Linked DNA regions of Oreochromis niloticus. The protein of the gene in region 1 purifies or fractionates together with the protein of each later gene. This does not show direct contact. Links are inferred from orthologs where the notes say so. Each region holds a gene or a part of one and is shown in the gene's direction. Other genes may lie near its edges.

Evidence for each region.
Region 2: the proteins of sirt7 (region 1) and ubtf purify together in Homo sapiens (affinity purification with western blotting; 3 studies listed by BioGRID, with this or other methods). This does not show direct contact. The link is inferred for Oreochromis niloticus from reciprocal best matches to the Homo sapiens genes SIRT7 and UBTF.
Region 3: the proteins of sirt7 (region 1) and fbl purify together in Homo sapiens (affinity purification with mass spectrometry; 3 studies listed by BioGRID, with this or other methods). This does not show direct contact. The link is inferred for Oreochromis niloticus from reciprocal best matches to the Homo sapiens genes SIRT7 and FBL.
Region 4: the proteins of sirt7 (region 1) and wdr77 purify together in Homo sapiens (affinity purification with mass spectrometry; 3 studies listed by BioGRID, with this or other methods). This does not show direct contact. The link is inferred for Oreochromis niloticus from reciprocal best matches to the Homo sapiens genes SIRT7 and WDR77.

The regions. Positions count from the first base shown.
Region 1 is NC_031971.2:32,548,982-32,555,808, reverse strand, and holds the start of sirt7 (NAD-dependent protein deacetylase sirtuin-7), read left to right. Parts: upstream 1-3,823; 5' UTR 3,824-3,970; coding exon 3,971-4,075; intron 4,076-4,183; coding exon 4,184-4,321; intron 4,322-5,592; coding exon 5,593-5,697; intron 5,698-5,779; coding exon 5,780-5,850; intron 5,851-5,945; coding exon 5,946-6,018; intron 6,019-6,556; coding exon 6,557-6,655; intron 6,656-6,827. Other genes in the region: uncharacterized protein cp110, read left to right, coding at 1,264-1,346, 1,576-1,735. UniProt on the Homo sapiens protein: NAD-dependent protein-lysine deacylase that can act both as a deacetylase or deacylase (desuccinylase, depropionylase, deglutarylase and dedecanoylase), depending on the context. Specifically mediates deacetylation of histone H3 at 'Lys-18' (H3K18Ac).
Region 2 is NC_031969.2:28,404,056-28,411,365, reverse strand, and holds the start of ubtf (nucleolar transcription factor 1), read left to right. Parts: upstream 1-4,309; 5' UTR 4,310-4,682; intron 4,683-6,448; 5' UTR 6,449-6,470; coding exon 6,471-6,507; intron 6,508-6,859; coding exon 6,860-7,032; intron 7,033-7,126; coding exon 7,127-7,210; intron 7,211-7,310. Other genes in the region: slc4a1a (solute carrier family 4 member 1a (Diego blood group)), read left to right, coding at 114-280, 380-621, 702-871, 1,310-1,483, 1,575-1,619. UniProt on the Homo sapiens protein: Recognizes the ribosomal RNA gene promoter and activates transcription mediated by RNA polymerase I (Pol I) through cooperative interactions with the transcription factor SL1/TIF-IB complex.
Region 3 is NC_031976.2:1,781,195-1,789,101, forward strand, and holds the start of fbl (rRNA 2'-O-methyltransferase fibrillarin), read left to right. Parts: upstream 1-4,892; 5' UTR 4,893-5,052; coding exon 5,053-5,062; intron 5,063-6,707; coding exon 6,708-6,824; intron 6,825-7,907.
Region 4 is NC_031970.2:22,062,869-22,070,113, reverse strand, and holds the start of wdr77 (methylosome protein WDR77), read left to right. Parts: upstream 1-4,244; 5' UTR 4,245-4,571; coding exon 4,572-4,680; intron 4,681-4,927; coding exon 4,928-5,113; intron 5,114-5,192; coding exon 5,193-5,334; intron 5,335-5,487; coding exon 5,488-5,537; intron 5,538-5,854; coding exon 5,855-5,925; intron 5,926-6,041; coding exon 6,042-6,099; intron 6,100-6,905; coding exon 6,906-6,977; intron 6,978-7,073; coding exon 7,074-7,182; intron 7,183-7,245. UniProt on the Homo sapiens protein: Non-catalytic component of the methylosome complex, composed of PRMT5, WDR77 and CLNS1A, which modifies specific arginines to dimethylarginines in several spliceosomal Sm proteins and histones.

The DNA.
Region 1 (6,827 bases):
TAGTTCTGGCTGGATATTTGACCATTCTTCTTTACAGAATTGATTCTGAGTTCATTTAAACTGGTTAGTTTCCTGTTATAGACCCAGCTGTATGGAGCCCCAGAGCATGATGATGCCACCACCATGCTTGACAGCTGGTCTAGTGTTTTTATATTTGAAAGTCTCACCTTTATTCCTCCAAACATAGACCTCTGCCTCGTCTGACCATAAAACTGTTCTCCAGAAGGCAATTGGCTTGTCCATGTGGTTAGCTGCATATTTCAGTCTAGCTGGAGGTGTCGGTTTTGGAGCAAAGGCTTCTTTCTCTGCACCCTCTCAGTCCATTTTGAGTTTCAGCTCGCTTCACTGTGGATACTGATGCTGACATTCAGCAGTTTCCAGTTCATGGCAGTGTTGAGCCTTGGTGGTTCTTGTGTTGTTCCTGAACATCCAAACCAATTTCCTGTCATCTGAGCGTGACAGTTTGGGTCTTCTTTCAGACCCTGGCAAAGTGGTGACACATAAAAATAACATGTACTTTGATACAGTTGTTTGAACTGGAGATATTGGAATCTGTTTAGAAATAACTCCAAGAGACCTTCTTAACTCTGGTAAATCCACAGTTCTCCTTCTTAGATCTTCACTGAGTTCCTTGCACTTGACTTCATTGTTCTAATTATTGATCAATCCGATGAGTGCCATTAAACAAATTCTTCTAATGCTGGCAAAGAGAAACTATCAGCTGTAGTGTGTCTGTGTAGGTTCTCAGTCATCCAGGTCAGGAGCTTGGAAAGAAAAATTTCCTGACAACGTTTCACCTCTCATCCGAGGAGCTTTAGAGAAAATTCAAAATAAGTTCAAACGTATGTACCAAATTTTTGTTTGTTTGTTTTAAGATACATGCTGATGACAATCATGTCACCGTGGAAAAAGAACTGTTTGAAGAAATCATTATAGGCCCAAAAATACCACGGCATTCATGCCCATGATGATTGTATGTAAACTGCTGGCCACAGCTGTATTTATAATCATAGTGGTTATTTTATCACTTATATGTGATTCACATATAAATATGGTTGCTGTTATACTTAGAATACCTCCCGGTGATAACGCCAAACTATTTGAATTGTATTCATTCTCCTGTTCTGAGTTTCTAGGCTGAGAAGTAGAAATTCAAATATTACATCAACAGTGTATGGATTTGCTTTTGATACTGGTGGCTGCTGCAGAGACTGTGTTCTAAATATTGTGCATTTTTACGTGTGTGCGTGCTTGTGTGTTTAGGGTTCACAGACTGGCCGCCCGAGAGGAAAGAGCTTTCTGTCAGCTGCAACACAGAAGTCACTGGAGAGGAAAAGAGGAATGATGTGAGTTTTTCCTGCATCGTTGCTGTTTTTCTGTTTTCTTCACAAATGTGAACCGAACCCAGTCATTACAAGTTACATAAGAACCACTGGAGTGGGTTTTTATTGCAAGGTAAAAATGCAGCAGTTCCTTTAATTTTGTGATGAATTGAAAATCCTGCACCACAGAAAGAAAAAACTTTCTTCTTCATTTCTTTGTCAGCTCCTAAAACTTGTCTTGTCTTTGTTTCAGGATCCAAAGAAAGGCTGCAGGAAGGCACCGGGGGGTTATGACGAGGACAGCACAAAAGTCTGGATTCTCTGCTGAGCTCCTGCCAGAAACCAAACGAGGACATTTCAGAGCAAATCCTCAGAGGGTCCCCAAGAGCGCTTCCTCCTCTAGACCCCAATGACACCTTCCTAATTGGCCCCAGTGAGAACTCCTAACAAGCCCTCTAGTGATTACATGAATAGAGTATTACTAATCATCTGAGAGTTTCCAAATCCAAAAACCAAATTTGATTCAAATGGATGACTAATGTATATCATTGTATTTCATCTCAGGGGCTTTGAGAACATTTTTGACACCATGGTGTCTACAGAGGAGCGGCTATGTCACGTCTGCTTCCGGCATCTTTTAGTTATTTATTTATTTATCTTTTTTGCCATCTTCAGATTATTCATGTTGAAGATATTTGTGTGAAAATGTTGAGTTGACAGAAAAAATCGTTTGGCAGCAACTATAAAGGGTTGTTCACAGCACCTGAAAGATTTATAGACTCTCAGCAGATGTTCTGACAGCTACAGTGAACAGTATTGATCATCTCTCTGTTCATTTGGGTACTAGAGGAAGACAGCAGTTCATAAATTTGGGGTCAAATATTAGATTTGTGTTGGGAACAAATACTCTTTAGTAGGTTGTGCGTTGTAGTCTTCATATAGGCAATCGCTTTGTTTAAAGGTGACCTATTGTGCTTATTTCCAGCCTAATATTTTTATTCACGAACTCCACTAGAGTGGCTTTGCATGATTCATAGGTAACAGAAATCCTTATTTATCTTTTGCTGAGGCTTGGTGCAGCTTCTCACTCCATCCACTGTCTGAAATAAGATACTTTAGCTCCTCTTTTGTTAACTTTGTGACCACTTTGACTGAAATTTCAGGACCACAGATCCTTAAACATAATCTTAAAGTGTGACTGTGGTCACATGCCTTAAAGTTGGCAAGCTAATAGTTACACAGCACCTTGTTTCACGTTTGCTGACATTGGCAGCTCTTTGCCTGCATAAGCTTTATAAACATCTATGAAACAGAATAAAATATACTTCAATCTTACTCTCAGATTTGAAACATAGCTTGGAGCTTTGTTCTGCTTATTTTCAGCTCCATTTTTTGTTGTTTCACTCTACCAGCATGGCTTTGCATGATTAACAGTTAAAAGTTTTCCTTATTATCTGATACTACGCCTTGGCGTAGCACCTCGCTCCCATTAACTAGCTGAAATGAGCTGTTTTAGTCAACTTTCTCCTGATTGGCTGCCCCTCATAAAACGGGTTTCAAGTAGGAAGTGGGTGGGACTTCTGTGCCTGATAAGACCATATTAGGGATATCCTCTTTCTTTTAAAGCCAAGCATAGATAAAACAGTTAGAGCAGTGTGAAGCCTTAACTTTTGTCTGTGCCACAGTATTTATGACAGAAAACAAGAAAAATTATTATAGATCCACTTGATGATGTTAGGAAGTAAATATGTGGTAGATAAGCCTTTTCAGAGCAGACACTTTGGAAAAGCACCCTTGTATGTGCTGTGCTGTATGGCTCACTGTTACATTTAATGGGAAATAAGCATTGCTTGTGTTTTTCCTGCTGCTGTTATAAATCTTTGTCTTTTGTGGAAAAAAAACAGTATTTCCACTTTTCCACAAACACATTGCTGGTGCTCAGTGTAGTGCAGACTAGTCCCAGGTGACAAAAGCTGAGGCCAGCACTACACTTCAGAGATCCCAGGCACGGTGATTTAGGCACTCAGGTCAGTGACCATGAGAAGGACTATCACAACAACCAGCAGAGGCAGTCCTCAGATTCTCTCTGTCATCATTTTTCTTGCCACAGTAGCTCTTAACTTCTCGCAACTCAGCATAATCACCACTAAAACCAGTTGAGGGGTGGGCCGGTTCTCTGGAAGCTCTCTGCGTGGATGGAAAAGAGGTGCATTAGGACACCCAGCTGAAACACACCTGTTCATTCATCACCTTCATGATTCACCACCTCTTGTATTCACACATATTAAACCCTGCTTGTGTGATATGAGTAGTATTTTGTTCGTCTTCTGATATTTGACTTGAAGTGTTACTCTTCGTGTTGCCTTAAATATTTGTAGCTAAAACCTTTTGCAAATTTTGTATTGTTGTGGATTTTTGATTTGTTTTAAATGTTATTTATTTGTTCGTGTTTGATAATAATAAACTTTTATTTACACTGAGTTGCTGATGTGATGTGTGAAACTGAGGGAAAATACAGACTCCCAGCAGCAGGGGGCGGTGTTCCCGGCTCTCACCCGGTTTCTTTTTTACCTTCCGCTTCCGGCTGTGTCTGGTGCTATGAGCTTTGTTTTGAATAGACGTCTTCTCGTCAGCTGATTGAAAACAGGATGGCGGAAGAGCAGGACGCCGGTGTTTCTTCCCGGGCGCAGAGGAAAGCTTTGAGCAAAGCTAAAATACTACAGCGAGAGAGCGAGAGGGAGGTCTTCAGACTGGTGAGAGGGGAGAAAACAGATGCACATTTACAGCTAGCAGGCTAGACTAGCTCATGTTTGCTGTGTGCATTGTGAGGCTTACCCGGTTCCTCTGTCTTCCTCCCGCAGGTCGGGCGGGTCCTGAAAAAACCGGAGTCTGAGCGGTCAGAGGAGGAGGCCGCTGCTCTGCTGCTCCACAGAGACACTGTGGAGGAGCTCTGCAAGAGACAAGTCCGCAGAAATGTGCTCAAGAGGAAGCAGGAAGAGGTGAGACTCCGGCCCAGAGAGGCTGGATCTGGCCTGCTAAGATTGGTTTGTCAGCTAGAGGGACAACTTGAGAACAGAAGTGGAAGCAGCAGGTTTCTGGGTTGATTGTGTGAAGACTCAGAGAGGTTGAATGGTAGTCCCTCTTTATGCACAAAGTCTAATAAATACAAAAGGACTAAACCCATTCTGTTAAATGCACTGGTACTTGTACAGTGCTGTTCTGCTCTAAATGGGCACTAACAGCTTCATTCACCCAATCACACACATTCATTTCTTACACCTAAGCACCTTTTTAACATTCACACATGCACTCCCAGTCTGATGGATGCAGCAGGCTAGATTCGGGCTTCAGTATCTTGCCTAAGGATAAGTCAAAATGCAGACTGGAGGAGCCAGAGTCAACCACTGGTCTCCTGAGCTACCACTCCGGTCCTCATGGACTGCTCATGGAGGAGCAGTATGAGGATTCAACATCTACCCATTTATTATCAATAAGAGTTAACACACGCACACATACAACCAGAAGCAGTATCTCTCAAAGTGCTAAATGTTAGCAGCTATTTTTGTTGGTTTTTAATCCTAGACTTAGCCAAAGTATGAACTGAGGAGCTGAACCAGGCGTGGTTTAACTCTTTTCCCCGTAAAGACGACATTTGACAAGCTCCCCAGTACCCTTAATGACATGTATTGACACCTCAGTACCAATATACTCTGATTTGAGTTTGATGACCACTAGAATAGTTTATGAAGGTCAGCTGCATAGAGAGACCACCCTCACGAATTTCTGATGGAAACCCAGTCATTTTGTTCTATAAGCAGGCCTAAAATATGGTAAAAACCACTCTGTTCAGAAAAGAGCTTCAAGGGTTATTCCTAGTAGGCTAAAACAGGGTGGGAGACATTACTTGTTAAAACATCCTGTGTTTTCTTCCTCTCTTAGAAGCATTTGTGGTGTTTAAAAAACTTTCATTAAAGATCATGGTTGGGTGACAGTGTCCTCCTGCTCTTTCTGCTGTGAGAGGGCAGCGAGGCTTCAGAGTGAAACGTACAGTAGTTTACTGCATGATTTTAAAAATTAAAACTGCTTCTTTTGCTTCGGACTTCCTCCCTTCAGTGATCATTTTACATTATTTTGTCATGGTTTAAAAAAATCAGATGCAAACCATCGTCACCGTCACTCCCTGACCCACCCTCCAGACAAACCCTCAATCTTTTTCTGATTATTTTTGAAGCTCTAATGGTCTTTAGTACATCCCTAATGTCTTTTTCAGGTATTTGATGGTGTTGATGAGCTGAAAAATAAAGTCAGGCAGCTCGCTGTGGCAGTCAAACAAGCCAGTCACCTGGTGGTTTACACTGGAGCCGGTATCAGCACGGTATGTTAAACTCTTCCTCTTCATTTTCGCCTTCCTTTTCCTTTTTAAACTTTCACAAAACTGACATCGTCTATAATTTCAGGCAGCTTCTATCCCTGACTACAGGGGCCCTAACGGGGTATGGACGCAGCTACAGAAGGGTCGGGCCATTAGGTGAGATACAGAGTGTTTACTGTGACATGAAATATATGTATTACTCTCCCCTAGTGCATTCTGTTTGATTTATCTCTGCGTTTCTTTACGAACAGCTCGTCAGACCTGAGTAAAGCGGAGCCGACGCTCACGCACATGTGCATTAAGATGCTTCATAAGGAAAAGCTGGTATGTCACACCAAAGTCCTCCAGGAACATATTTTGAATTTGAATATTGAATATTTTGCATTTAAATGAGTGATTAGAGATTTGTAACTTCAGTTTCAATGGTTACTGCGACATAAAAACAGCATCTAAAGACTCATCAGTTAAATCCAATAATTAAAAGAAAGCTTTAAGTTAAAAACGTTATTTACTTTTTCCAGTTATTCATTCAGACAGAAGCTTCAAAATAACTTCCAAGATGTTCCAAAATCACAAGACTTACTTCTAGAAGGATTTTAATACGGTTAGCCAAGAAAAACAATAGCTACACTTACCAGAACTTTACTATGATAACAAGCAGATGTGACACACACCTGAAACATGATTGGTTATTTGTGTTTCCTGCTCTGGCATTGATAAGGACAGGACAGCGTCCATCTTTAGCGTTACAGAATATTACCTCGGTTTACCCCGGTGCTGCGTCTCCTCCTTGTAGCATCTGTGCTCACATCACATTTAAAGGCAGTGCTTCATGTTCTGTCTTTGTTTGCTCTGTGTAAAGGTTAAGCACGTTGTGTCTCAGAACTGCGATGGACTTCACCTGCGTAGCAGTCTGCCCAGACATGCCCTCTCTGAACTCCATGGAAACATGTTTATTGAGGTAAGAACCACGCATCCTCAGTCCTTAGACTTTGTAGAAAGCCTGGAAAGAATTTGCTGTGATGTTTCTAAAAACAGCATCTAAACCTAAACCCCTACAGATCCAGACGTGTTTGTTTCTCATGCAAAAATATTTCTCAGGTGCATCATGTCTTAAAAGCGCTGGAGGTTAA
Region 2 (7,310 bases), on another chromosome or scaffold:
TCTGTCCCATTAGCACGCAATCCAACCAGTTCTCAAAATGTATGATGTAAGGCCAAATAATCTACCTTTAACTATGTCTTTCTAATCAGCATTATCACTCTGTCTTCTCATAGAAACTGGTTGTGCCAAAAGGTATTGAAGTGACTAACCCCGATGCGAGGGGATGGTTTATCAACCCCATGGGAGAAAAGAAACCTTTCCCCGGCTGGATGATAGGTGCCAGCTGTATACCTGCAGTGCTTGTCTTCATCCTCATCTTCCTTGAGTCCCAAATTACTACGTCAGTGACACTTTAAACGATAACAGTATCAGTTTGTGTGAATTTAACTACTTAAATATTTAAGAAATCTCTGTTTTCAATGTTCTCTGTGAATCCCAGGCTGATTGTGAGCAAACCGGAAAGGAAAATGGTAAAAGGGTCGGGTTTCCACTGGGACCTTCTCGTCCTGGTCACCATGGGCGGAATCGCGTCTATCTTTGGAGTCCCTTGGCTGAGTGCTGCCACTGTGCGATCTGTCACCCACGCCAATGCTCTCACTGTCATGTCCAAGGGCCCCAAACCAGAGATTGAGAAAGTGATTGAGCAGAGGGTCAGCGGCATGATTGTGGCCATCATGATTGGTAGGTGCTGCCATCTACAGCAATGATGCAGGCACAGCAGAGTCAGAGTAAATAACCATTTTGCTCATGCCAATTTTCAGGAGTTTCTATTTACATGGAGCCTATTCTGAAGATGATTCCAATGACTGCCTTGTTTGGCATCTTCCTCTATATGGGTATCACTTCTCTAAATGGAATCCAGATGTGGGACAGGATCCTTCTGCTCATTACTCCCAAGAAATACCATCCCCCTGATGCCTATGCCACCAGGGTATCTATTCAGCACAATACAGTTTATTTTACACTTATCAGCTAATCACAGTTAATTTGTATGCAGTACACCTTCATGTTTCGAAGCTAACTCACTGTGTTAGACAGTTTTCCTCAGAGCACAAAAAATATTTAGTATTGTTTACAATTTTTAATCTATTTGCTATTTTTTCCATGTCTTTGTAGCTTTGTGCCTCACATTTGTGTCTTCTGTTGTATATCTTTGTGATCATTTTTTTTTTACCTTGCTTTCATTTTTACTCACTTTCCCAGACCTGCTAACAGTACTTTCAAAAACAGCCAATGGTTCACAGCTCCTTGCATTAGATTATGTATTCCATCCTGCTTTTTCTTATATATCCAAGTCTAGTGGTGTAATAATTACCATATAAATTGTTAATTAGTGCATTTCTCACTCTTATTTTTGTCATTTGTACAGGTGAGTACCCTGCGAATGCATCTGTTCACTCTGATCCAGCTCGTGTGCCTGGGTGTACTTTGGGCAGTGAAGATGAGCACCTTCTCTCTGGCTCTGCCTTTTGTTCTCATTCTGACCGTTCCTCTGCGCATGTTCATGACTGGCAGGCTCTTCTCTGCCATGGAAATGAAATGTGTAAGTGCTTACCTATATTTTTCAAATTTACCTCTTCGTGTCATTTCATATGTAAATTTCCTTGTTGTAACCTGATCTGCATGTGTTGCAGCTGGACGCTGATGACGCCAAGGTGACATTTGAGGAGGATGAGTAGGATGGATCTATACTGCCATAAACATCACCATACCGTTCATATTCACATTTTATTTAGTGATGCCACTTCTTTGTATATTTAAACTGTTCCATTACTATTTGTCTTTAAAGGGCATTACCTGACATTTATTAATATATGACTTCTGCATCTAAATTTGGGTTTGCAACCACAACAGACAACCAAAATGTATTGAATTTCATCATCGAGACCTATCAGGTATTACTAATTAATATTTTGAGATTTTAGGATTTCAAAAATGTTTTTTAAGGTATAAGTGGCTGTTTATGTACTTAGATACAGAGTGGCATTTTCTCTCAGGGAAAAATGAATGAATGGATTTTGAAAATAAGAGATATTTTCCCCTTGTGATGTTAGATAGATCCATTTATATATAATAGTTTTATTTTCTTTTAGTGCTCAATTACAGCATGGCTTTAATATTACAACAATGCAGTTAAATTTTAGTTCTGCCCATGTTACAATAATTTAATTTCATCTTACTTTAAGCTAAGGAAATCTGATGTCAGCTCTTCAGATGCGCACAAAATAATGAATTTTGTGAGACTATAATGTGCCTTTTGTCCATAGTTTATCAGATTATTCAGAAAAGTGTGAAGTTGTTTCTGAAGTTTTCCCATTTACTTTGTGTATTGTTTATGCAACAGTTTAGACTTTTTTTGTTCAGTTGGCCTATATAGAATATAAATGCACTGCTTGTGTGTAAGTGTTTGTGATTTTAAATGAGGTGTGCAGTGCAGGTAGATAGTTGATGCTGAGATCTTATTGTTTGAATTGATTGTTATACTGATGACATAATCAGGTAAAACTCTGTATACATTTTCCTTGTGCATTTTATGTTGCCCATCACATTTGTGTGCAAAACACTGTACATGCTTTGGATTTAATTTTATTAAAAAATAAAGACAACCTTAAAACGCATGTTTTCATGAACGCATTAAGTAACACAATATGTCACATCACATGTCAACATTTTGTCATTATTTTTACCCTGCAAGAAAGAGGAGAGGGCGTGAAGAGCATGTCTGCCAGTCAGCTTCATGCTGCCTTCAATGATGTCAGGAAACTTCAAAGTCCTGCTGCTCTGGAAGACAAGGGGGGCCTATTCTTACTTATTCTTAGCCTACACTATGATAATAACACAGGGGGAATCATTAAACAGAATACTGTTTTCTTTCTCAGACTAGTAAAACATGTTTAGCTGAATGACATGTCACATAATACATAGATACACAACATACAAAACCGTGAAGTTGTAAAATACACCCTTTGTTATGTATTTTTTATTTCATGATGTCACTTTTTAATAATGTTTCTAATATTCAATCAAGACAAACATAGTTGGACCGGCTGATTTTCCTATCCCTTAAATAGCGCAACTGCTTTGAGGCAAACTGAACTGCGACACAAATAGTTAAAGTTCTTTGGGGAAAATGATCACGGCAGGAAAGGGGTAAATTGCTTGTTCCGAGTCTTTAATTTTAAAAACAGACATTGCACGCTGCTAAGTCCCCTGCCTCTTTACAATGAGTTTTGTTTGTTTGTTTTCTATAGGTAATGTGACATTTCGTGAAGTTAAGATAAGCTCTATATGACTTATTCGTTCAAGCATGTCTTCATTTGTCTCTACTCGTTTCGCATGCAAAGATACCCGTTTTTCCTACACCATGGGAACGCAACACGGTTTAACAAGGCCGAGGGCCTGAAAGTCATTTGTTTTCCCTGAATCGGACTGCTTGGATTGGATGGCCGGGGGTTCCGCCCACAAACACACAAGGTGGAGTTGAAAAGCAAAACATGCTGGACCAAAATGAAGCTGTCAAACAGCCGCTTACAATATACAAAAAAGAGGTTAGGAGCAGCGAGAAACAGCGCGGTTTTTGTGTTATAGACCATTTTATTATTTATATTTTAAGTGGAAATCTGGCGTTTTTAAGTAAAATTTGTAAAGTTTCGGTTTTAAGTTGATATTAAAAAAAAATCTGATGGAAGAGCGTGAGGTGATTGAGTTGTATAAATTTTACAATCACCTGTAAAATGTTGGTTTTCATTGCACTCTCGGTCACCCGATAAAGTATTCGGTGGGTTCAAACTTCGGCTGCAGATGTGACGGGGTCGGCCTGCGGGAGTAAAAATAATCGCCCTCGGTTGTATTCAAACTGAGAGATCGGAAAAAATGTGGAGGTCTCGGGGTAGCGAAATGGTTGGATGGAGAGAGAAGAGCTGCTGCGCGCTGAGTGGAGGGAGACGGCGAGTGAGATGGAGGCGGGGGGGAAGGACCATCTCTGCGGGGACTGGAGCCCAGGACCGACGGCGCAGTGCTGGCTATCGTTCAACCCTCCCCTTCTTCCTCCACAGCGACACCGAGGCTCACGCTGAGAGACAGGTAAGCCAACACAACAGCCGATCGGTTTCAATATACAATGCGCGTACGTGATAAACAAACCGCGAAAAAGCCATCAAAACGCGATAAATATACATTTAATGCATGTTTTTGTTTTCTCGTAAAGCGCCTCGGTCGGCAGCTTCTTTGTAGTAGCGAAATAAACCGACGGTGGTAGGGTACAGACGAGGGCGGCCATACCCGAATTTCTTGTCCCAAACAGCGGGGAAGGAACTGGATGTAAGACCCTGGGGTAAACGTGATAAATTTCTTTTCAAAATAACACGAAAAAAGACTCTTTTGAGCTAACCCCTTCATCGAAACTCGCCTGCTTCTGCTGTACGGGGAGTATTTGCGTAGGAGAATAAACGGTGGTTTCCGCGCCGAGACCTCCATGCGGCTGTTGACGGAACAGCCAGCCGCCTCTCTCGGTTAGCCATCAGGGATCTCAGTTTAATATCTCACCGTGCAGAGACTCGCCCTCTCTCTCCCCCTCTCTCTCACTGGCTAGCCCAGAACCTCCGACGACCGAGCTCGGAGAACCCGCCTTCTTGCCCTCGCTTAAACGGTTTTGGATCGAGGGAAGGGAGTCTGCGACGCCCTGGCTTTAGTTTTAAGCTCCGTTTCTCTGTGTTTGCAGTGCGCCATTGGACCTTGTCACGGTAGGTTTCCTTGTAGAGCAGAGCTGAAGCATGGCGGACCTGGAGCTGTTTGTCGCGCCAGAGAAGCTACTCAGCCGCGGTTTGTTAACATGTTTCCTCGGAGCTTTAGCTAACCATTTTAGATGCCGTTTAATGCTACAATACTGCAACCGGAACTGTAAGCAACGGTTAAAGCTGATTTCTGGTTTTACAACAACAAAAAAATTTAGTTCGATGCTATAACATTTGGCCGTTAAAAAACATTTTCCATTTTCTTCTTTCTTCCTGCGCCTCCGCAAGTCTTTCCAGCCAGCCACCACGATATTTACGGGCATTTTTACAATTTGTTACTAATCCCTGTCCGCTGTCCACCATTTGAATTAGCTGTTTTTTATTAAACGCAGCTAAATAAAAACCGTTACGTGATTTAAATGATTGGTTGTAAACAACAGCTAATGTTAATGTGGTCCAGGTCTACTCTGCAGGACACGAAATTGTTCTTAGATGCCAAAAAGCCTAAAGCCTTGTATTAAATAACCTTTTAAAAGGCATAGCTAATAATATTTAAAAGAAAATGTCCCAATTTTAGCCGCATTCGGTGTGTCAAATCGTCCTTGCTCGTGTAATGCCTCAACACTCCAATTTATATCACCCATATTGTCATAATAATGAAATTTAAGGTACATTTTGTGTTTCAAGAGTTTCTTATATACAATGTGGCGGTTATTTAGTTACATAAATGGTGAAATCGATCGTTTAAATGTAGCTAGGTCACACGGTGGACACCACATTGAGCTGGGGCCATCAAGGACAAGATGAACAACGAGCAGCCGCCATCATTGGAACACAGTTCGGTTACGCCTCGCTGAAGAATGCTCTGGATTTTGCTAGCAAATCCCACTCTGAAACGCCTGAAACGTGAATAAAAACGGCCTGCAGATAACCTTTAAACACATTTATTTACTGTAAACGAGTGTTATTTTTGATTTCATCGCTCCGGTCTCAGTTAACACTACGAGGAGAAGATTATAGGTTTTGCGTGGCGGAGCTAGATCAGCGCCCAACGGTGATGAGGCGCCTCTGTCGAGTGGCGCATTTGGCTGCAGTGCTTCCAAGCTACCATTCCCCTTTCTCGGAGACCGAAAGCAGATCCCTCGTCCGTGGTCAGCTGGTCGCCTACAGCTGCCCGTCCGTCCACGTCCATTCGCTTCCTCCTTCCGTGGATCCTCCCCAACCTCAGCTCCGACAGAAAATCCTCCATTACTGAGCGGACCAGGCGAGAAAATGGTCGCTCCTGTGTGTCCACGATACTTTTGTTGTGGAATAAGGACAGTACTAATACGCCAAATTCCGGTTGGCAAAATTTGCTCGACGGAGACTCCTGTTGTCGTAGCTAGATGTGCTAGTTGAAGCCCTCCGCAGTGTTATTTGAGATTTGAAGCCGTCACAAGCAATAGCCTATGTCTCACCATGTAGCGTAAACGTTTAAGGGGCGGTGTAATGAACATAAACCATTATGTCGAGCCAAATTTAAATTTAACGACTTTGACTCGTTTATTACTTTTATATGAAGAATTAGCCACTTTAATTGGTAATTAAGCCCTTTTATACAAATAAGACAAAATAACATTAATTACTATTTTTAAAGATCTCGAGCCTTACTGGTTAAAGGTAATAAACACGAATATGTATATTATAAACTGCTGATTGGTTCTTGATTGAAGTCGATATATAAAAGATATGCTTTTAAATAATCTTATGGGGGTGTTTTTTGTTTTTTTTCGCAGATCCAAGACAGAATATCCGCAAATGAATGGAGAAATGGAGGCAACGACACAAGACCAAGGTGGGTTTTTTGCAAAAGTTTTTCTGAACAGAGTTGATATGTAGATTAATCATGGCAAAGCAGCACTTTACATAACCTTGTATATTAAGACCTTAGTATTAAACTTGATTAATGTACTAGTTCTTGTAAGAATTACAGCAATTAAAACTGTTTGATTCAAATTAGATTAGAATATATGATTTACCAACTTAAAGCCAATAAACGAATAGAATAGTAATTTTATTGTTATTTTTTTCTTGGCAGAATACACAAAAGGATGTATGATTTGAAAGATATTTTGGGTGGATCTGTTTTTTTCCTTTGTGATTTTTATGTGTCTTTTTTCTCTCTCTCTCTTTTAACATTTTCACAGTATGGGCGCAGGATGACCTTTTAAGACTGCTGGAGGCCATGAAAGTGGCTCTTCCACAGAAAGACCTGACTAAATACAAAACATCAGAGTCCCACCTGGACTGGCAGAAAGTTGCTTTCAATTCCTACACAGCTGAGATGTGCAAGCAGAAATGGCAGGAGGTCTCGAAAGAGGTGAGTTGATTTGTATCGATTTTTCTCCAAGTCAGATTTTTCTGTTAAGTCAAGTCTCCTGAGTTTCTCTGTTTTGTTTTTCTGCCAAACCCAGATTCGTAAATTCAGGACCCTGACAGAATTGATAGTTGATGCTCAAGACTACATAAAGAACCCATACAAGGGCAAAAAAATAAAGGTGAGTTCAAGTCAACATTCACATAATTTACGGCCAACAGTTGTGCTAATGGATTTCCAGGCTTAAGTAATTCCGCCCCCTTTCCCTCCCACAAATACAG
Region 3 (7,907 bases), on another chromosome or scaffold:
GTCATGGAACCATCTTTGGATATCTTGTTTGATGCCACGTTCTGTTTCAAGTCGGGGTGCATAAGATCAAGTGTACACCTCAACTTCCTGCCCATCATCAACTCGGCGGGAGACCTACCTGTTGTTGATTGTGGTGTGATTCAGTAACTAAACAGACCCCTGTTTAACAGTGTGTGTCCAGTACTCGTTTTTTCCTTTAAAGTTTGCACCGCTCACCACTCTCAGGGGTGTAGCAGGCCTGTGTCTGTGTTCTTGACAAGTAATGCGGGACTGTACCTCATGCTCAATGTCAGTCTCCATGTGTGGCCACCACAGGTAACTTCTGGCCAGGCCCTTCATGTGGCTCATTCCCGACTGTGATGTAGCTGTTCCAGCATGGGGCATCAGCCTCGTTCTGGTATCACCACCTTCATCTCGTGAAACAAACTTATCAGTGCCTTATGATCCATGATAATCATAAACTTCCTGCCGTACAAGTACTCATGAAAATACTGTACACCAAATATTACAGCTAATCCTTCTGTATCCAGTTCTAAGTAGTTCTTTTCTCCTACACTCAGTGTATGTGATACAAACACAGTGGGTTTCTCCTCACCATCTAGCATGCAGTGAGGACTCCAGTGCAGAAAGACACAATTTGTGTCCCAGTGGCCGTTCCTTATGGGAATAATTTATACTGGGACCTGGAGGGGAAGAGAATTTGACCTTTCCATCGAAATTCCTGTTAACCAACAAAGTAAAGAAAATATCTTTTAAAATCATTCATCGTTTTTACCCCACCAGAACTTTTCTTGTATGATATAAAAAAGACACCGATGTTAACGATTCATTTTGTTACTGTCTCACTTATTTTGGTCCTGCTCCAGCTATAATCTTTTCTGGACAGATTTTTGTACTTTTGTTGTTTCTTTTATCTATTCTGACTTCTCTCTCTGTTATGGGAAATATTTTTTTGATTAATCTGCAAATAGGGCAATTTGATTAATTAACTCATTTTACTGGCTAAAATTCATAGATATAAAACCAAATTTTCCAATGGAAAACCGTCTTTTCAATGCTGTATAAATGAAACCATACAATATTTTAAAACAATACAACATTTCCATAATGTAAAAGCAATTAAAATAAACCTATGCTCCTTCTGTGATATCGTGTGATTCAAACCCTTAGCCTGTGTCTAACTGTTATTACATGAAACTCCCTGAAAGTGTCTTTGGCTTATTTAACTCTGTGATGTTTGACTTGCTAAAAAGTGCCTGGGCCTCGACTGATGGCCATGAGACTGTAACCTTCTTCTTCTTTTCAGTTTAATGGCGGTTGGTAAACCAGCTTAGATGCGCATTACCGCCGCCTGCTGGACTGGAGTGTGGATCTGGAAAAAATCACAGATTTCAACAGTTGGCCATAAACTTGAGACAGTGCCCTTCCGAGCAGGTTTTCTAATGTCAAATTTATCTTCAGCTCCTCAGAGATTGCTATTAATGCCTTCGTGTCCTAAACACAGACCAGCATCCTAACAGTACATGTTGAACACAGCCCAGTTATTTGCAGTGCTCACACAGTTCCATTGGGTGCTTGACTATTAGCTGTAGTGTTTTATTACTACTGGTTGAAAGTTTGGACACACCTTCTCATTTAATGGTTTCTCATTATTTTCATGACTATTTACATTGTAGATTCTCACTCAAGGCATCAACACTATGGATGAACATGTATGGTTCAGTAAAAGGACTAGATGTTACTGTCCCTGATATCGCATTGCTTTAAATGGAGAGAATCTTGAGGGATGGCTGTTATGAGGAAAGACAGCCCAGAAACTTTACCAGCAGCACACATCGTAGTGTGCTGTATCAAACAAAAAAGTGTGAAATAACTCCAAACATGTTTTATAATTTAGATTCTTCCAAATATCCGCCCTTTGCTTTGATTACTGCTTTGCACACTCTTGTCATTCTCTCCATGAGCTTCATGAGGTCGTCACCTGAAATGGTTTCCAACAGTCTTGAAGGCGTTCCCAGAGATGCTGAGCACTTGGCTTGTTTGCCTTCACTCTGCGCTCCATCTCATCCCAAACCATCTCCTTTGGGTTTAGGTCAGGTGACTGTGGAGGCCGGGCTGTAGTCGTTGCAAGTGTCTTCAAGATGCAGGTTTATTGAAATGGCCATAGTGAGTCCTTGAATATAGTAGGCTACTGTGAACTCTTAAGTGTTAGGTCATGTTTTTTGCACTGATCGCACTTCTATGTACACCCAAACACTAATGATAGCTAATTTCACCTCGTGTTTGTTTCATGATAGGTTTTCTTTTTCATTTAAATCAATGCTGCCAGCATCTCTGGACGGTCTCTGCCTCAGCAGCAACACAGATTTACATAAAATTGATCATTGATAAATTGTGTTAATTCATCCGTTTTTGTGTGTGTAAAAACTGTAAACTTATATCCAATGAGTTTGTTCATTTTAACATTTTAAACTTGCATTAATGTGACACTGGAACTCATTGTTGTTGGAAATGGGCCTAATATTTGACTTGTTCAGTTTTATTTATAGATTTTTTATAGTTTAATCAAGGTGCCATCAATCAGAGATCCCCTCTGAACAGCTCTTTGTAAGAGTAACAAGGAGGAGAAACCAGGGTCATGAAAGGGCAGCCACTGTGAAAATACAAATATTGTACAGTTAAATTTGTACAGACTATATCACTGTGGGTCAACCGTATTTTTCATTGTTCACTCTTATATACAGTCTTGGATATACTATGTACTATATTTTATTTATTTATTTAGTTTATTTTTATTTTTGTATTGTTATTTATTGTATATATATTCTTCTTTTTTTTCTTAACGGTGTGCTCTTTTCACTTACACTGAGTGGCAGGGGCGATTTTAGCCCATTTTTGGGGGGTGCTTCAACCCTCAATTTATTCGTAATAATTTATTCTGTTTTGGGAGTATTTTTATGTATCTGTATTATATTATACATACACATTAAAACTGAATCTCTGTCCAAAAAATGCACTCAGTTTACTTTTTACTCACTATGATCATCATTCATTATCCTCCCCCAGTAATTAAGGTTAGGATGTGTATTTTTTTATATTCCAATCCATTCTTCTTTTGTGGCATTTAAATAAACTTTATCAGATTTATGATTTTGTTACAGACTTTTCAAAAAAGTGTTTTGCTTTTCTTTCACAAATGTGGGGATTAAATTGTGTTAAAATGTACAAAACAGTGATGTCATGTTTTGTGACGAGGACCCAGGCACAGAGAGACTTGATGAATTTAAGAATCTTCTGATTTAAGAAAGAAATTTGCAGACTTGCACAGAGATGGTAAAATTCTGATGACTGATAACGGAGATGAAGACAACAGACGACGAGGACAGGGAGGAACAGGGGTTTAAATGCACCAAGGAGACAGTCAGAGAGAACTCGGGACAACTGGAGACATTTAAGGATGCAGGGACTGACAGTCTCTGTCGTGACGTGTAAAGTTTATCTTGCCTGGATGGGCAGCTCTCTGGGTGCTCAGCACCCCCAAAGCTCTGATCCTAGAATCGCCCCTGCTGAGCGGGTTTGCATACAGTTTCCGTTGTTCTTAAAGCACACTGACAATAAAGATTCTAATTCAGCCGTCTGCGTTCAGATGAGGGTGAAGAAAAGAGGAACTAAGATGTATGTTAATGACATGCAGTAGTGGCATATAAACACATGGGGAGTGAAAAGGGGTGTGGGGGATTCCCATGATGCTCTGAGCCTATATCAGAATGACAAATGACTCAGTAATTATTCACTGTGATTTCCAACATTTCTGCTCAATAGAAATGAATCTGAATCTGATTTCCTTTCAAAAACAGTTATACCCTGCTCCTCTGAGCAGCAGTGATGTGCTTGTACGGTCTGTGTGTTCTGATCATTTAGCTAACATCAGTACAAAGACTTTCTTGTTATTTTGAAGTGGTCTTTTAATAGTTGTCTCATCCAGGGAGCTTGGAGAAAAACAACTGGACTTCTTTAAGTTTCTTGAAGATGTTTCACCTCTCATCAAGCTTCTTCACTTCTAAAACCAAAGGGTGCAGAATCCTGGGTATGTAATCCCATGTGGGAGCTGGCCCTCAAGAGGACCAACAATATTGATCACATGTACCAAGGTGTGAAAAAGGGTGTGGGGTCATTATTAGCAGAGGTTTTGGGTGAAACTATTGTGAGACCTTATGCGACCCATTGAGATCACCTGACGCATGATATGAGTGGGGGTAAGGGTCTGTTAAGCGTCTGGGAAGGGATCTCAAACTGCCTTGTAGATGGCAGACAGATGGTGTCAAAGATGGCTGCTCACAGTGGACATAGGTGGTTCTCAAGTCAAGTCAAGTGGCTTTATTATCATTCCAACCATGTGCAGTGGTACAGTACACAGTGAAACGGAGCAACGTTCCTCTGAGACCACGCTGCTACATATAACAGACAATCAACACAGGATTACATAAAGTGCAACAAAACCAAAACAAAGAGAGTGCAACACCAGACAGAACAGAATAATGCAGACACAAGACAGTGCAATAGAAAAGTGCAACAACGACAGCGGGTTGTGCACAAGAGTGAGCATTGTGCAAAAAGTAACTTGGTGTGTGTGTATGAGATTGTGCAGATAAGTGCTGCTTTGACTCTCTTTCAAACCATGTGAAATGTGAACACTAGCATCCTCGAAAGAGTGACCGTTATCGTTTAGATGCAGATATCAATCAGAAATCAAAGACGGATTCCGGCTTCAACATTGTGACAGGAAGGTTGTTTTGGCACAACATCCGGCAGCTGAGAGCAGCTGTCGTCTGTTTGAAAACAAGATTTCCGTCTGTGTCCAGTTGGTGGCGGTAATGCGCCATTTTGCTTGCTAAGCAGCAGTAGATTAGATAGAAGAAGAAAGTTTGTGCTCGGTCGCACAGCTGCACGTGGGACGTGATCACACCGTGTCTGTTCACTGAGGATCAACACAGAAGAGAAGCGATTCGACTCCGCGGGCTGCGTTCATTTCAGTAGTTTACGCCAGAAACGATGAAGCCAGGTACAGTAAGATTACATGTGCTTATACTCGGTAATGCGGGCGGATGTCTGATCGTGTATTTAATGAGCCTGTACAGTTAGATACACTGCGTGGACGGCCTACACGGCCACGTTGTCCGTGAAAACTACAGCAGACTTGGGCGAACAGTGGCTGCCTGAGCGCGTGTTTTGTTCACGGTGAGACGTTCATGTGTCCGCGCAGTCTGAGTTGAACACGCGCTGTGCTCCACGCACGTGTCTGGGACTCAGTGGGGCCCACACAGCGACCTCCGTTACAACCAGAGTTACGGTTTTACTCAAAGTCGGGTCGTGCCGTCTGTAACCCGCTCGAACTGTTTACAGCTCCACGAGACGTAGCTCGCGCTAACGTTAGCCCGGCCGGAACTTTGTGTGTTTGCGGTTCGGTGAAAGTGTCCAAACATCACGGGGACGGCCACGCTGAGCACGCCGACACAGAAGTCAGTGAGTCGAGTCTTAGCCCGTGTTCCTCCCTGTTACTTCTTATGAAGGATGTTTCTGAGTGTGGGGCGTGTTGGAAGAACCACGTTATGTGCGTGTTATGCTGCGTCCCTCAGCTAGTCGGAAGTCGGTGTTTAAATCTGGAGCGCCACCTCAAGTCGCGTTTCGCACTCGAAAATCCCGAGCAGCCCCAGCGACCCGGGTTAACGATCCAAGATGGCGGCACTGACGTAGGCAGCCATGTACTGTAAAAGGTTGCTTTGGCTCATCTGGGATTTGGGAAAAACGTCAGGTCCCACCTTCATGTTGGCACCAGCTGTCTGACCTGCAGGGGCCGTCTGTTTCACTAGTGCCTGCTTGGCTCTGCTTTTAGGGTTTCCAGTAGGTGTTTGTACCTGATACCAGGGAACCTGCTCGTAAGGGGTTGTAAGTGAGCTGAGTGGGGTCAAAAATGTGACACCAGTGGAATGGTTGGCCCATCGGTGGCATCACTTAGTGAGTCTTGAGAGTAACTCATTCACAAAAATCTAAATTACCTTTTTTTTAAAAAAAACCAAACACAGCTAGACAAAGAACAACACTGTGGTCTCAGAGCCCGACAAGAAGCCATACACCGAGCAACAGGGATACCATCATCTTGATTTCCTCCTCTCTTTGGTGTTTGTGGCATACAAATGAGATCACGGGTCTTTTAGCCACATCGCTATAACGCCCACACCCACATGGAGGTGTTACTCGGCCGTAATGGAAAACGACCAAAACAGAATCTTTTGAAGATGAGTAGCTATGAGTGTAAAAGCGGCACCATCGTCCTTGACTCTCAGTGGTCTGGTTGCCACGTTACTGTGGATAACTTCAAGTTTGAACGTGTTGTTCCAACATTGCTAGTTTTGAAGAGGTGGATATGGTGTGTGTTTGAAGTTTCTGTTGGTATTTCACAACCTCCAGATCCACATGTGGGGCAGCTGTGGCTCAGGCTCATCTATCAAGGTTGATGGACTGACTCACACCGACTCCAGTCTGCATCTTTGTGCAACATATTGAACCCAGAGTTCCTCCAATGCACTCAATGTGATGTGTGTGTGAATGTCAATGGATAAAAGTGCTTAAGAGAAGATGATTGGGTGAATAAGTGTTATAGATGTGTCCGTCTATTTACACATATAATAAATGATTCATGGTTTCAGGTTTCAGTCCTCGCATGGACAGAGGAGGAAGAGGTGGAGGACGCGGTGGAGGCAGAGGAGGGTTTGGTGATCGCGGAGGACGAGGAGGATTCCGGGGAGGATTCCGGGGAGGAAGAGGTGAGACTGGAAACGTGTCGTTTGTATCATCACATCGTGGATGTCATCCTCAAATGCCAGGATGATGACTTGAAGCAGTTACAGAACAAAATATTTTTATTCAGGTATCTGCTAATAATATAATATTATAGGCTGTTAAGTTCAAATGGTAACAGTTTTGGTGTTTTGAACACACTTTCGGAGTTAAAGCAGCTTCCAAAACATTGGGTGCTCCACTTGATCACAAACAGCAGCTGAAGTGTTGCTTTGTATTTCTGCTTCTCCAATTACCCGAGCAATCTTTAAACACCACCGCTTTCACCAGACCACCGCATTTTAACCAAGCATTGAGCGCTCCACTTGTTTCTTAACCCTTTAAGACCTACCATAGAACCAAGTCCGCCAGAGTTTCTTTACATTTTACATGCTGTAGTGCCATTTTTAGGAGCATTTCAAGTTGCTATACATCAATACAACTGTTATATCCCAAATTTTAATAATATGTATGCATTAAGTGCATAATAATTACATAAATTGCAAAAAAGTGCAATAAACTACAAAAAAAGAAAATCATTTTTGTTTTTTTAACATATATTTCTACTTAGAGAAATTTAAGAGGCTTATCCCTCAAAACTGTAAATACAAAAAAGTTGCACAAAATAGTTTCCAGCAACAGGAAATTTATTTTGAGTGTCTTCAGTTTTATTTTTGAGATACACCAATTTTTATATACTGCAGGAAAAACGAAAATAAGTATTATAATCCAAATTTGCAAAGAAAACCGCATGTGCATCAAAATAAACTATTTCCAGCAGTGCAATTTGAGTTCTAAGCATCCCAGAAACTATTCAGAAAAGCATAGAGTCAAAGATGACTTTTAAAAACACCAGTATAGGCTTATAAGGCCCCGAAGGTTAAAAAAAACCCTACATTTTCCACGAATATGACGTCACTTCCGGTTTCGGGCAAGTAATGGTGGACATGCGATAGTTCGCGCTGACGTCTATTCCAACGTAGGAAGTGTTTTGAACAGCTGATCGTATTTGCAAAGCCTGTTTCTGGAATATTGTTTTTCATGCTGCAAGTGCTTTTTATGCAGTTTTT
Region 4 (7,245 bases), on another chromosome or scaffold:
CAATTCTGATGCACGGTTTGAACTTCAGCCGGTCATCCCGACTACATATACTTGGTCTTTGCATTGTTGAATAAATTGCATTCGCATGTGATTTGCTGATTAAATATTAGTTATATTAACAAGGACTTAGACAGGTTTACCTAATAAAGAAGTTAGTTTCACGTAGGGTGTACTTGATACCCATTATGTACCTGGCATTCAAACCCATTTAAAACTACCGACTGTGTTTACACTGTGTACCCAGAAGAAACCCACACTGTTGCAGGGAGAACATGCAAACCAGGCTGTAGATGAATCCAAAACCATCTCTAAAATACCGCACTCCAAGTCAATATAGCCCGTGGCTTAAATTTTTTTAATACATACATAGCCATTTAAAGTGTGGATTGTGAAATACACACATTGTTGTATTCTTATGGTTACTTTTATAATAAATATGACATTTTTACATTACACAGGAATATTCTTTAATGTACAGAAAGTGAGGATGCTCCAGCTGTTAACTCTTGTACCAACGCTGATGTGTAAAATGACAAAGTAGCACATGATCAGTGTTATTGTTGTCATTCATACCTCTTTGTGAAATAAGCAAAGTAGGATTTATCCGGCATAATAGGTGAACATTGGCCACTGCTCTCAGTAAACGTAATGCAGATGTTTGGCTACTATATCCCGTGTAGAAATGCAGTACTAGTACAAAACTTAGTCTACATCTAAAACTAACTTTACTTATTTACAGAGTAAACAGTAGTGATCCTCATACATATGTGATATCAAACAATAGGCCTAAACACAGAAATGTCAATAACTGTAATAAAAAAATATAGTATTGGCATAGTGTACAGTGTAAGGAGGACCATAAAGGCACGTTGGAGCTTTAATTTAAAATGATGAACTTAAAGTTATTTGACTTATACTTTCGGGAGAAAAAAAATAGGAAAATGAAGGCTTTTTTTTTTTTTTTTTAATAAACAAACCCTCTGCTCTCCCAGTAGGTTTTAAGTACCTTATTTTACGTTGTTAATTGCTACAGTGCCAGCAGCTCACTGCTTTCACCTCGAATGACATTTCTCTTAGTGCGCGGCAATGATGCTGGTATGTCTGGAGGTCTGACTCGCCAAGAATGTTAACAGCTCTCCCTTAATGCTCCCCAGCAGCTGCGCACAGGCTGCAGTCCAGTGTGCACACATCAGCAGCCTAGCATGCAGAACGGCAGCTATCCACCCACCTGAGTGTCTGTCACTCAGCGTGGACAGGTACACACCTCGGAGCAGCTAGCCTTAGCTACAGTTAACGGTTAGCCTTAACGTTACCTGGTGGGTTAAAGCCGAGACAAAGGCATCACTGTAACGACGACTAACGTTACAAAGCTACCGTTATGTGCACCGACGACACTTGTGTGAGGAAAAAAACACACACACACGTTTTGCCACTTGACATGGCTGTGTGCTTACCTTTTGTGAACACGGCAATACACCCACAAAATCTTAACCATCAAGTAAGCCAATCACTTATCGATTTTAGACAGGGGGACAGAACTGTAACGTTTTCGCCAATGTAACCTTCATTTCCGTTTTCCTACCTTCACAATAAAAGTGCAGATTGATTTGACGTAGTTATAAGTGCGCATTTACATTATTGGAATTACTTTTCTTCTCTTGTCACTTTACTGTGGGGTTTGTTCGATAAGCAGTTGGCGTAATAGGGACTACGTTAGTATATATAAACTATCCAATGCCAGAATTGTAAATAAACAGGGTCAAACTGGACATGAAAAGGAGCGCAAATGGACTTCCGGTTAGTTCAAAATGATTTTACCAACTTTTACTGCGCCATTAAACCTCTTTTTTGTAACTCAAAAAACCTATTGAGCTGTCAGACTTACCTAAACGGTAACTTGGAGTTAGAATCTGGCCCGTGGATATTTGGCATGCAGACTGGAGCAGCCAGGGATTGAACCACCAACCTTCTGAGTAGTAGATCACCGGCTGTACCTCCAATTGCATCCATAATGTTGCGTCATGTCTTTTTCTTCTTCTTCTTTTAAGGTTTTGCAGTATGCGCATAAGGTTTAAAAATGCTTTGAAATATATCAATAATGTTTTTTTCCTCTTTTGGCTGCAACCTTTAGTGGTCACCACAGTGAAGGCACCACCTCACCCTATCCCTAGCGTTCTCTTTGACAACCAAGCCTCTGCATGTTCTCCTTCACTAAATCCATGAATGGCAGCTACATATTTAACATCTTTTGTCCAGTATCTCCGCTGTCCCTCTTGAGAATGTCCAGACCTTCCCAGCCTTGCCTCTCTACCTTTCTCTTAAAACTGCTCAGCCTGAGCTGTCAATTGTGGTCACTCCCAATAAAAATCATAGCATCTTCAGCTTTTCCACCTCCAGCCCGAGTCTTATTTGATAAGAGATGACAAAAAAGAATAAGATCTAGGAAGACATGGGAATTTCTAGAAATAGCAGAAGGGGGTTTGATGTCCTCCCAATCCTGAAGACCTGGAAAAAAAATGGAAAACATAGACACGTGGCAGAATGAATCATTTATAAGTTATCTATAACGTAATTTATACATCAAATTAAGTTCTGAAGGTAGTTGGCCAAATGGTCATGCCATAGTCAGAAATGACTTGAGGCACAGAATTTATCTTCCAAAGCCCCAGAAGAAAGGACAATATCAGATTTCTTAGGCAATAAGAGGACACTGGGGAAACCTGTCACCCAGCTTTAAATCCTTTTACTGAGAGATTCACTACTATGAACATTGATCTTGTTGAGTGACAATAAAGTAGTTATTCTCAATTCTTCTACTGTGGTATTTAGAAATGAAGAATCTCAACTATTGGATGCATTGTGGTAGACAGATACCCCTTCAGGAATACTGGTGTAACTTTTGTGGTCCTCTGTCTTTGGATCTCGTTTCATCATCAGGTGAATATTTTAGTTGCTAATGATGAATTTTTTAATGATTTAAAGTGTATTTAAATGTAACGTATATGCTTGCTTTATTTTTCAAAAGCGCAAATAGTGTTACATTCATATTAACTGGTAAAAAACAGTGCTTGTTCTGTAATAAATTATAATACAGTAATAATGTTTTAAGTAATAGAAATAATAAGTGATATTATTATTATTATTATTATTATTATTATTATTAACAATAATAATAATAATACCTTAAGTTTCTCTAGAAATTATCAGCAGATGCAATGCCATCTACAAAAGGCAGTGTGTGACCAGGTTTATTTTATCTTTATGATCAAAAGCAGATGGTGTAATGAAAAGCTGAAGGGCCTTAAAGCAGTTCAGTTAGCTTAGATGTTCCTGTTGACCCGGCACAAGGAGGAAACATTACAAAAGTGGAATAAACATCAAAATTAGGCTATCTGCCAAATTGTAAATTTAGAAGTTGGTATCTGTAGCTAGAATGAAAAGACTGTAATGAAAGACAAGATACTCCAAGATTAATAACTCCTGGACTGATTTGTCTGTAACTGACATACTAACTAACTGACATAGGCAGTCACATCAAAGTACTGGTTGAAATTATGCTAAAACTTATGGAAGTTTCTTTCTGCCACTGGGAGAAAAAAATGACATAACTCGCGATTTCTAATTATTTTCTTGGATGTTTGAGTTTGTAAGGCAGAAAGAAGCTTCCATAGTAGTTAGTTTAAAAAAATGTAAACTATCTGAAGTGATTCTGTAAACTTGGAAAAATAACTACAATGAAATTAAATGATAGTGAAAACACCCCTAGTTTGGTATTGTTATGATGTATTATTGTTAGTATTGTATTATTTTGGTAAAATTTGTTATCACTAACTGCATGATGAGGCTTTGGTGAACTTGTTTGTTGAGGCTTTGGATGTCTACAAGACTGTGAGTCAACCACTTTCAAAAAGTCCTGTTGATATTGTAATATCTCTATTGATTTTCCTAAATGTTGCCTCTGTCATTTGCCATAAATACAATTTTCTTTTTTAAGTCTAAAACTAACACTGAAATGAACAAAAACTAAAACTAAATGAGAAAATGCACTCTGGAAGTTAACTGAAACTAAACAGTGTTCAAAGCAAAAAGTTAAAACGAAATACAATTTTTAAAAAAACATAAAAACATGATGTGAAAATACAAAGCTATAGTAACTCCAGGTGGCAGTACTACATTACATTACTACATTAAACCTTTGAAGAGGCCCCATAAGCTAAATAATACTGCAGAGGGCAGTAACACGTCTGGTACTATGCATGCTGCCAAAAAAAGAGAAGAAGAAGAAACCGGACAGGAAGCGTTTGCTAGCAGTTCCATGTGTTGCGCTGCTCTCGGTCATTCATTCGTGAAACGAAAAATATACGGACTCGTTTTTCATGCATTACGGGCTTAATCGTGTTTTTAGCAACCGACTGTGTGCTATTATTGATAGTAATAATAATAATATTTTCAAAAGAAATAAACTAAAGACAAAACCTGCATCATTTCTGCAGTAGCACTAGCTAGCTAACGCAGGAGTTGTGTTGTAGAAGTTTAGGAAATCTCATCAACATTTAAAGTGCGATTTCTGGATGAATAGTTCAGTGGATACTAGGATGATCAAGGAAAACCGGTGGGACATACCCCCCAATGCTCCTGCGTGCATGGAGAGGCACCTGTGCGCGGCACAATACAGAGCAGGTAGGGGAAAGGAGCGCTAGCTGAAGTTAACGTGTAAACACGTGGTGCCGCTAGTTGGTTATAATTAGTGTGTTTACATTTGTGCTAAACTGTTGAAATCCTACGTTGACTCTCTTATGTTTACATCCAACAAAATGTTAAAGAAATAACATTTTCTGTTGAATACCAGTCAGACTAAACTTTTCTGGCAGGCGATGAATGAAAATATAGACGTTTGAAAGGTTTTCTCGTTGGGCTTTCTCCACAGATGGCACCCTGCTACTTGGTGCCTCCAGCCTCTCTGGCAGAAGCTGGCAGGGATCTGTTTGGATCTACAGCGACCCTGACCAGGCCCCCAGTGAGGGATTCTGTAAAGCTGGTGTGCAGACTGAGGCTGGTGTCACAGATGTCAAATGGGTGTCAGAGAAAGGAATTATTGTTGCCTCAGATTCAGGTAATGAAATGTTTTTATGGCAGGTGAATCAAGCACACACTTGAGGCTTGTATGAGACTGGTCTCATTTGTCTGTGCAGGTGCCTTGGAGCTCTGGGAACTAGCAGAGGATGAACGTCTACTGGTTAATCGCTTTACCAAGAATGATCATGACCATATTGTCACTACAGTAAGCCCCATGGTTGGAGCAACCGCTGCAGTCACTGGCAGCATGGACTGCAGGTTAGACTTGTTTTACATGGACATACATACACCATTCCACCTGTCACAACAGCGCAGAAGCAATGTTAATTGCTTTTGTTTCAAACTTTGGCTTACTTAATTTTTGAGTTGCCCTTGTCATCCCTTAAAGTGCATCTTTGCTTATTATTACAGAATTAAAGTCTGGGATCTAAGTCAGGAAATGGTTGTCACTACCTACAATGGTAAGCGTCATCTTAACATTTCTTCATATAGAAATGCACAAAACTTATAAAAATGCTTTTTTTTTTCCATAATGTGGAAAAATAAAAGTAAAAAATGTTTATTTTTTGTAGCATTCCTGGATGTATAGATTTTAGATTAATTAATTTACCAAGGTTTTTTGTTTCTATTGCTGATATTACCAGACTATCCCAGTGTCATATTCCTATTGACTCTTTGGAACGATGTATTGCTGAAGGAAAGTTTTATATTAAAATGTCATAAACATCATTGACATGAAAAGTTTAACTCAACAGTTCTTGTTGTTTTCTTCCCACAGTGCACACACAACCAGTCACTTGTGTTGCCTGCAGTCCTACAGATGAGTCTCTGTTTCTCTCCTGTAGCCAAGTAAGATGCTAATCAGCGTGTTGTTTGCATTCTTGTCGCAGAGGTTTATTTTTTGGACCGCAGAGCTGCAATCATTCAGATAAACTCAACTTCTTCTTCTTCTCATCCCTTCTTAGGACGGGCGTGTTTTGTTGTGGGACAGGAGGAAGCCCAACAAACCTGCATCAAGAATAGGTAAGCTACTTCACTAAGCTTTGATAACCACTTTTGCCAAACACTACTGGAAGAGTAGTTGAGATTAGAATTGGTAAAGCTGCACAGGAAATGAATTATGACAGAGAGTAAAATTTGTTCCAAAACAAACAGTTGTGTTTACAAATTTATGCCAGTACACAGACTATGCAGCAGTCATTCACTCTGCAAATGTATGTGTGTTAAAGTTGGAGTATGTACTAATACCTAGCAGGTAGACAATATTGCAACTGCAATGGAGTTGATTCCTCCACATATGCAGCCATTACCAAAGTAATCAACCCAAATCCAGAGCCTTAACTTTTCCCCCATGAAGACAACATTTGACAACACCTCATCTGTCCCCTTAATGATGGATTAAAAACCCATGAAGATGTGATTTGATGAACATTAGAGTAGTTTTCAGGTTTTTCAGGTGTGGCGGAATAGGCAGAGACCATCCTCACTAACTTACATGCAGATTCAATCATTTAGTTCTATAAGCAGGCCTGAAATATAATGAAACCTCTTAGTTCACAAAAGAGCTTCAAGGGTTACTTCTAGAAGGCTTTCAAGGTTTAAAGAGTTAATAAGAGTGTTTCCAAAACTTTGGAAGTGCTCCATAATTACCTAACTAGCTACCTAGCGTTTTATTTTTGTCTAGATGATTAAAGAAGGACTTTGTGTTGTTGTTCCTGGAATCCGTTTATAGGCTGTCTTGGAAATATGTCTGTGCTGTACAGGATATCCTGTGTAAGTAATGAGAGATGGCAAGCGCATTCTCAGTTTCTGTTTTTGTTTTGCCTCAGATGTAGAGTCTCCTAGCTGCTCCCCTACTTCTCTAGCTTGGCACCCTCACCACAGAAGCACCATTGCTTTTGGTAAGACGCTGCATTACATTGTTGAGTCACATTTGATTAAGACCTGACTTTAATTGAGACAAAGTTAACTTCGCTTACATTCTGATCGTGTTTCAGGCGATGAGCTTGGCAGGGTGACTGTGAAAGATTTCCTGGGATCGGAGCCATCTCGGGTGGAGAAAGTTCACAGCCGCAGAGTTAATGGGCTGGCCTTCTCCACACACAGGTAAATGTAAAGTCTGTCACAGTCTCACCTTTGGCTTTATTGCTCTTTTACAAAATTCTGACT